Linked DNA regions of Bombyx mori. The protein of the gene in region 2 interacts with the protein of the main gene of each other region in a pairwise test. Links are inferred from orthologs where the notes say so. Each region holds a gene or a part of one and is shown on either strand. Other genes may lie near its edges. The genes, in order: electron-transfer-flavoprotein beta polypeptide; electron transfer flavoprotein subunit alpha, mitochondrial.

Region 1 (4,621 bases), on a different chromosome or scaffold from region 2:
ACGAGTTCACGGCCCACCAAGTGTAAAGTGGTTACCGAAGCCCTTCAATCTACAATGTTAATACCGCCATTCACCTTGAGATAAGAGATGTAAGGTCTCAGTATAATTACGACAGCTGCCTCAACCTTCAAACCGAAACGCATTACTGCTTCACGGCAGAAATAGCCAAGGCAGTGATACTTGTGCGGACTCACAAGAGGTCCTACCACCAGCAAATGATTTGTTTCGTTAGAAAAGCCTATTAATATATAATTAACCCAAATGTGAAATATTTAATTCTGAATTTCTTAACGATGAAATGGGAGTTTTTAATTAAAAGACAAAAAAGTAAACAATGTCAATAATTACATTAACAATATACATAAAACATGATTCTATAAACATTTAATATAAAAATGTTCCCTATGATTTTTCACTATTGATAAATTAAAAGTTCGATTTACGATTACACATGTCCGCCTTCCTTAAGCTTAGCAACGAGAGTGTCGACATCAGGTATGATGGAGCCAGCCTGTCGGACTGGAGGATCTTCCACAGAGACCACCTTGATACGAGGTGCCAGGTCCACCCCAAGGTCTTTGGCACTTACTTTTTTGAGAGGCTTCTTCTTTGCTTTCTAAAACAAATATAAATTACGGTAGATGAGGATCCTTCCCAACTAAAATAGAGACTGTATATATTCCATGTATTCAAAAAATTTATCATGAATCAATTACAATATTGATAACAACCATGTTACAATTAATAAATTAAATTTTTTATGTGATAAAAATGGTGTGCTGAGAACTAAATGAAAATATTATGATTTTTATTGAAAATATTATGATTTTTATTGAAAATATTATATTTGAAGTTGTTCAACTTATCAAGAATAGTTAGCAATCGTTGTATTGAAAGTTTAAATTGTATGAGGCATTAATCAACTTATCAAGAATAGTTCATCCTTTTCAATTCTCAATGGAAATCTATACATCCAAAACAACAACAATTTATCAGGCACAGCTTAATATGGAACTTGGGGTTCTTTATCTGCAGTGTATCAGTGTATGTTCTTCTAATTTCCATATTAGTATATAACTTTAGAGTTGTATTTACCATGATGTTAGGCAGTGTAGCATATCGTGGTTCATTCAGTCGCAGATCAGCACTCAGTACAGCTGGGATTTTTGTCTTGATAACCTCTAAACCTCCATCAATTTCACGGGTTATAGTTAGAGCACCATCAGTCTTTTCTATCTACAATAAAGATGAATTTGTTACTGTTTATTGTAATTGAAGGTTTGGCTAGGATAATTATGCATATGTCATTAAAATTGTCAATACATTGCTTACAGGCGGCCAATACAGCACACCGGTGGTACAGTTGAATGTATTTATGTTCACTTAAATTGAAGATGTTAGATAATTCGGTAATCCCAATATTGAACTTATGACTTCTTGCATTAAAGAAGAAAAGAGCATCATTTTAAACAAAATTGATGGGTTGTTTTTTTTAATCACTGAATAAAAACTTGTAATAATTGGTTATTATTGAAAACGAATTATAACTTAATTCATTAGTTCTATTTACAAATTATAAAAATTACCTTTGATGCAAATGTTCCTTGTGGCCAATCTAATAAAGCAGCAGTCATCTGTGCTGTCTGGTTGGAGTCATCATCTATGGCCTTAAAAATTAAAAAGAAAGTTTTAGGTATTTATGACACAATGACATAAAAAAATATATGCATTTTTAATTGTTGTTACCTGTTTGCCAACAATAACTAAGTCTGCCTTCTCATCTTGTGACAGTTTTGCTAAGATTTTTGCAACATGAATGGGCTGTAATGTGTCATATTCAGCCCCAGCCACTTCAACATGAATAGCTCGATCTGCACCCATCGCAAGAGCAGTTCTGAGAGTTTCCTTTATAATAAAATAAACAAGCTTTAGCCTCAAAAAGTATGTAAAAAAATTATAATGAGACTATAAACAATTCTTTTACTACTAATAGATGAAATTTATTCTTAAATTAATTTATTATTTTTATAAGAAATTGAAGTCATTAGTGTTAAAAAGACCGATTAGAATAAATTGTTCTTTTTAAATGAAATTTTATTTAAAATGAATTATAATTTTATTAGTTTAACATGAACATTTAACCAATCTGCATTTTTTTTAATGGATACCTGTGCTTGTGATGGTCCACAAGAGACTGCAATGACTTCGCTTGCTAACTTTTTTTCTTTCATTCGAACAGCCTCCTCTACTGCTATCTCATCAAAAGGATTCATTGAGTGCTTCACCCCATCTGTGACTACACCAGACTTGTCTGGCTTCACACGAATCTGAATATAAAATTCATATTAATCCTCTTTGTGATACTAAATTTCATATTACATTGCACACACTTGCCAAAAAACTTATTAATTAATTATACTAACTTTAGTAAGTAATCAACTTTACTATTGAATTAAAAAAAGTCTATTAGGATCTAACTAAGTGCGTCATTTTAAATTTTAGTATAGTATAGTTCGGAGTTAAAGGATTTTATCAGTAATGTAATCTTAATTTAAGTGGTCGAAAAGATTGCCAAGTGGCAAAGGGTCATTAATCAAGGCTATTATGAAAGATTATAGATAAGAATAGCTTAGAAACGCAAAGGTACTATATTCCAAATACAATTGGACAGTTACAGTCTTTATTGGTTATATATGTATGTATATACACGTATTCAAAATTATTAACTATTTATTATTCTTTTATTAATAAAAACGGTGCATAAAAAATAACCTTTGCACTTTCATATAACTTACTTTTACAGCATAGTCGATAACTCTCTTAACGCCAACAAGAACACGAGACATTTTTCTTTTAATTAGTATCTAAAAGGCGTAATAATTAAAGGACTAAATATTAACGAAAACAAACTAACAGGTAGGTACGAAGTCCAAATTTAAAATATCCACAGATTACTAACAAAGAGAGCAAAACTTTAAAACGTTATTAACATATATAATAATCTGTGGAACTTCGCTGGGTCACAGTGTGTCCACTTTTAGAGAATTCTCCTTTTTTTAGGGAAAAACAGTTGATATTTTGGATGGTTAAAGACAATTTGAATAATACAAGGATTTAGGGAATTTCGGGGTAAAACGCAAAGCCTATACTAGTAACCTTGTAGTAAAGTAAATCATAGACTAAACCACTGCTTTTTTCTTAGGAATTCCCCAGAATCCTAATAAGTGTAATCCGCCAAAATTTTATTTACCTATGTCACCAGAACCTACTCGTATTGTAATATATAGGTACTTCATGAACCATGAAAGATTATCGTGGTAATTTCATTTACGAAAACCTTGAAGTTGCCGTTTCACTTTTACTAGCAGTTCCTTCTTCAAAGACTGAAGTGGAAAGATTATTCAGTGTTCTTAAAAATGTAAAAACTGACAAAAGAAACAGGATTTTAATGACACCCCGAAAGGCTTGCTTCATACAAAGCTTAAAATGCTAGCAAACAATTGCTCAATCTTAGAACCGAACAGCGTTATGTTGCGTGCAGCAAAATAATATAAAAGCAATGCGTCGACTTCCCAAAAATTCTAATCCTATAGATCTATGATCTTCTGTGGGCGTTTTGTTATTATATATACCTACATTAAATAATATGCTATGGTTTATTTTCTGTATTTTATTTATGCTTCCTAAACTTCGATCATCAATAGTAACTAGATAAAGGGACACGTACAAAATTAAAGCAAAAGCTGTCCGCGTGAATATACACCTATAGCTACATTCGTTTACTAACAAACGGAGAAAAAAGTTTTGAAACAGTTTTAAGTTCAAACTAATTACAACTATGGTACTTTGTAATAAAGCCACAAATCTCCAAAACATTATCTAATACTTACGATCATTCGTCACATAAAATGAGCAAAGTAATAAATTAATCCTGTCACTTACAAATAAAAAAACATATGTTAAACAATTTTTAATGTTAAATCAACCTTAAGTGACAACAAATAAAGTACTTTTTCCCTTTATTGCTCTGAGAACAAACATCGTTTTGTTTTATTTATTTTTGCTTCTTGAAATTTCGATTTCTGTTTACTACAGGAGGTAAGGGAGTCGCGTTGAACACTAAAATAATTTATTAATGAATAAAAGCAAAAGTTTAGTTGTTTACTTTTTATGTTTTGGAAATTTATGTTTGTTAGTATCTATACATTATTTATTATTTTATTAGCGTTGCGTTTTTGTGTAATATATATTTTTATAGTATATTTTTAAGTTTTCGCGACCAGTGCACATAATAAAACAACGTTTAAACGGTTTCAAGCGCGGTATTTTTATTACAATGTTTCGGCCACGTTTCAGTAGCCGTGAGCACGGAAGACAAAGATGTCCAGTGTCAATGAGCGGAGATCTTAGCTGGCTTATAAAAGTCATCTCTTGTTTCTCTGGCGACAATCGAGATCCATTCTGCACACGTGATTGCTAGGAAAGCTAAAATAAAAAAGGAAAGCTAAGTATCTAATGAGAGTCCAAAAAACAGACACAAAAGCAGCATTAACCAATTTTAACCAACTAATTTTGAAGTACATCTAACAAATTTTAAAAAATTATTAAAACACAAATCTAC
Region 2 (4,516 bases):
TTATTTCAGATTACTTTTAGATGAACGGCATCAACACACATAATGAAAGAGTATGTTGTATATACTGGAACCGCTCAAGGACAGCATTAAAGTGAACAGTTCGTTTTATTGTAAAACGACAATCTAAAACTAAATTCACAAAAGCTTTATATGACATATACATCTATGACATTTTACGACCATAAATCTACCACCTCAATTGATTTTTGTATGAAATTTGTTATATTATGAGCAAAAGAAGTTTCTTTCCAGTCGAAAAAGAAATACATTTTTTAAATAATTTGTATGCTTTTGTGTTAGGAATCATAAAGGAGTTCTATACACCCTGTATCTGTGACATTCTGATAGAGTTGTGTATTCAATGTCAAATCTAAAGTGTATGAGATTCAAAGAAAGCACACCTAATTAAATATAAATTTAATACTAACAGGAGCAACAATCTTGCCAGTCTGTCCAATCTGTAGGTCGTTGGGTACAAAGCCAGCATCGACAGCTGCACGAGAGGCACCCACGGCCGCATTCAACTTATCAGCTAGATCATACAACAACTTGAAGTTGTCACCAGACTTCAAGCCTCGTCCTGTCAAATAACAACATTACACTTTGAATAATTCTGATGTGTAATTTGAATATAATTTTGAAAAGTATCTTTTTATTATGTAGATGTGTGAGCACTCTTACAGGTCATCCACATAACAGAAATAGGCAGCATATTGGTATCTATCTATGAGGGTTTACAGTACAATAATAATGCAGTAAGATAATTGCAGTATTTTAGCAGAACCAGTAGAACCATTCGTTGCTTTTAAGACCTATAAGATAACGAGAGTTTAAATAGTGGAATTTTAGTCCTATGAATTCTACATTACATTAATTTTAAAGTTTCTATTAAATTAGACCAAGCAATTAAATTAAGCATTGATTATTTATTATTATTATTTTTTAACTATAATATCTTACCACCAGATACAATATTCTTAGCACTAGTGAGTTCTGGTCTGTCAGATTTGGTCAATTCCTGCTTTAAAAATTCAACCAGATCAGTCTTATAGTCGCCCTCAGGTGCTTTATCAATTGCTGCAGACCCTCCCTCCAATGGCTCTGCAGGGAATGCTGTGCCACGAACAGTGATGACCTTGATAGGATCTTTGGCCTCAAGGGTTAATATAGCGTTACCTAAAAATATCAATCAATTAATCATTAATTAACATTAATTTCAGTTGAACTAACAGACTGTTTTTATTACCTTCATAGGGCAATGAGCTTATGGCCCATGTGACATTTGAGTGACATTGCTGGCATTACATAAGGACGTTTGCCATTGCCCACCATAGAGAACACTCCCGAAGGCACATTTGAAAAATGAAATGTTTTAGAGCTCAAGGAATACCATGGAGGGAAGTTTGTTGAGGTTGATAAATTGTATAAAAGAGCTCTGGAAATACACTGAGCATAGAGCCAGAGGCTTTACAAAGATGTATGAATAATGAATGTAAAAATGATATATACAAAATGTACATGATCAATAGGACCTCACCAGCATAAATTGTTCTCACAAAGGTATTAGCATCCTTGATACCAATGATATCAGTTATTGGTGACACATCAAGCTTGGCCGCAACTCGTGGCAGCACCGTCTTTCCGAAAGCAGTTGCTGGTGCTAAGATATGAGTGAATTTGAACTGTTTTTGTGTAGCCAAAATCAGAGGAGTCAGGGTTTCAGCAGTAAAACCTTTAAAGACATCACTCTCAGCCACTAAAACTTTAGATATACCATTTGCCTTAGCAATGGATTCTGCAGCCTGAAAGAAGTCAAATTTAAAAGTTTTTTATTAGGAAAATGATAATAGTACAATTATAGGTAAGCTCTGCAATTAGTACTGACTGCACTGTCCCATGACATTACATTGTACTTAATATTTGATATTCTAGCAATTTTTAATATTTAAGTAACTCTACTTTAAATATGACATCCTTCACATACAATAGCTAATTACAGAACCATGGCATTCTATTACAGGATTCTGATTAAAATTGACTTGATATATATTCATATAACGAGATTACATAAGATGCCAATACTTATTATTAATTGGTTCCAAGACTAAAACCCGAAACTGTACTTATTGTTTGTTAAATTAGCTTCAAAATAAAAACATACAGGTCCACATTTGGTTCCAGCCACAAGCACTGAGACATCACCTCCAATTTTCTTGGCAGCATTCAATGTATTTTGGGTTGCTGGAGATAGTACCTCATTGTTGTGCTCGGCGAGCACTAAAGTACTTTGCAAACGACGCAGCTGAAATTAGAGTCGCTATTACAATTCAGTAATATATTAGGAAAATATATTTAAAAATGGGTCTAAATTACTTATGCACCTATTTATTTCTAAAATCCAATTGAACAATAATTATCATAACTCACATCGTGACCTCGACCCTTGAAATTAACATATAAGTTTTAAGACTAATCTCATCTAGAGGTTAATAATCTAAGTTTTAGGATCTCAATATAATAATAAAGTTTCCAACCTGTCCAGACAAAAATAAATGCCTGCTATTGGGTGCAAACATTTTGATAAGCAAGATTTTGTTCAGGAAATCTGTTTTTATTTATTAAATAATTTATTAAACTTAAATCTAGGTTACAAAGTCCAATGTTCAAAAATGACAAGAGGTTTTTATTTGATTCGTGGCTAAGACAAGCAAAGGGAACGAAGTGCATGCCATTTTGTAGGAAAAATAGAAGTCATGTTTATTAAATAAAATGTAACATTTAACGATTGTGCTGGTTGAGTTGATTAAATAATGAAATCAAATTGAATTATAATAGGTAAGATAATATAACAGCTGTGGGATGACATGAAATATATTAAACTCTCTTTAAAGCAGTAGAAATTTATTGAGATTTTATAGAACATGTTGACGTCCGCGTGGCGTTAAAGGCTTATTACACTTGGCTAAATTTACGACTGAATTCAGAAGCAAGTTAGAAACTTCTGATTACACTATTCTTAATTCAGTTACTGAATCAATTGCCAGCTTAAGCGCGACGAAGTTGGACGTGTCGTGTGTATAAGAGGATGGCCCTAGTATTGTCTAGACAACAAAAAATTGGTCTTGGCGTAGTCCTCGCTTTTCTAAATGCGTTTCTAATTAGGCTTCTTAATAATTTAGTCAGTCAGAAACCATCCTTGCTACTGAATTTAGTAGGCTAGCTTACTGAATGCTGTTACACTTCACTGAATTCAGTACCGACTAAATTCAGTCGACTAAATTTAGCCAAGTGTAATAAGCCTTTTATCCGAAAATTTAAAAAGTTACTTGAATCCGAGTTGTACTCGTGTTTTGCCGCGAGAGGTGAATGTGGCTCACTGAAGGTAAATGCAGTACACTATAACTCCTTACACAGATTTAACTCCTTACACAGATTTAACTAATTCGAAATTATGCAGACTAAAAAAATCTAATTTTGCTGAGTAGCACTATTTATTAGATAAAGCGTTGTCGTGAATCGTGATTTTAACTGTAGTCTAGTTCAGTTTCCATTGCGTGGATAACAGATATTAATAAAAACGCTTTTGATTTCACAATAAAGTTATTGATAAATTTCATAGACATATACCGTAAAATGGGGCGACTAGGGACAAATTCCAACTTTATGAGCAATTTTAAGATAGTTGTTGATGTATATAATGCTATATCAGGATCAAAATGATTGAGTCTTGGGGGCATCTTTGTTGTCTAATTTAAAATTATGCAACTAGCATTCCAGTTTAAGCAAAAAATGCAAAAATAGCTGTAATCCCTATTTACCCGAAAATTGCGGTTAATTGGGACGAAATGAGAAATTTGCTAGGGTTGGCACTACTTTCATTTTTATATATAGTTTTAATTAATTTATTTATTTAGTTGCACCAACAAAGTGATCATCAATAAAAAAAATTTAAAAACTGACAAAAGTACATGGCAGACATCACCTCAATTATAGGTGCAATCGATAGTGCTGATATTTCTATCTGGGTTAAGAGATTAGGTGTGTCGGTTATTCCATGGATTAATCAGATGAATACCCCCACTCTGAACAAATATTAAATATTTATTTTTCAAATATTAAATATATTACTTAGACATTTTTGTCCACCTTGAGATTTCATTGATCTTGTTACATGTCTCTGCAAAATCGACTTACTTATATTAAATTGCTTATCTATTTCAACTAAAGACTTATTCCCTATTTCGCTTCGAATAAACCAGATTTTTACCAACAAATTTAAAAAATATTGTTATAACTACATAGACAACCCTACAAACCTGTACCTATTTGTACTTAGGTCGTTTCCATTTCACGTATTCTCATCCCAATTGACCCCTTTGTCGTTGTTATTTGTACCTAAGACGTCCCCAATATCCCCAAAAACAACAGATTTTTACATATATTTTTATTTAATCAAATACATTAAAACCAATAACAACTGAGACTTACCTTTAATATATATGCTGGTTCAAACACT

What was found.
Region 1: the proteins of electron transfer flavoprotein subunit alpha, mitochondrial (region 2) and electron-transfer-flavoprotein beta polypeptide interact in a two-hybrid assay, tested with the Drosophila melanogaster proteins (2 studies listed by BioGRID). The link is inferred for Bombyx mori from reciprocal best matches to the Drosophila melanogaster genes wal and Etfb.

The regions. Positions count from the first base shown.
Region 1 is NC_085131.1:3,928,324-3,932,944, reverse strand, and holds electron-transfer-flavoprotein beta polypeptide, read right to left. Parts: upstream 2,915-4,621; 5' UTR 2,847-2,914; coding exon 2,796-2,846; intron 2,328-2,795; coding exon 2,169-2,327; intron 1,906-2,168; coding exon 1,747-1,905; intron 1,668-1,746; coding exon 1,587-1,667; intron 1,237-1,586; coding exon 1,096-1,236; intron 617-1,095; coding exon 446-616; 3' UTR 343-445; downstream 1-342.
Region 2 is NC_085111.1:13,689,259-13,693,774, reverse strand, and holds the start of electron transfer flavoprotein subunit alpha, mitochondrial, read right to left. Parts: upstream 2,952-4,516; 5' UTR 2,577-2,951; coding exon 2,535-2,576; intron 2,303-2,534; coding exon 2,162-2,302; intron 1,803-2,161; coding exon 1,538-1,802; intron 1,177-1,537; coding exon 961-1,176; intron 581-960; coding exon 429-580; intron 1-428.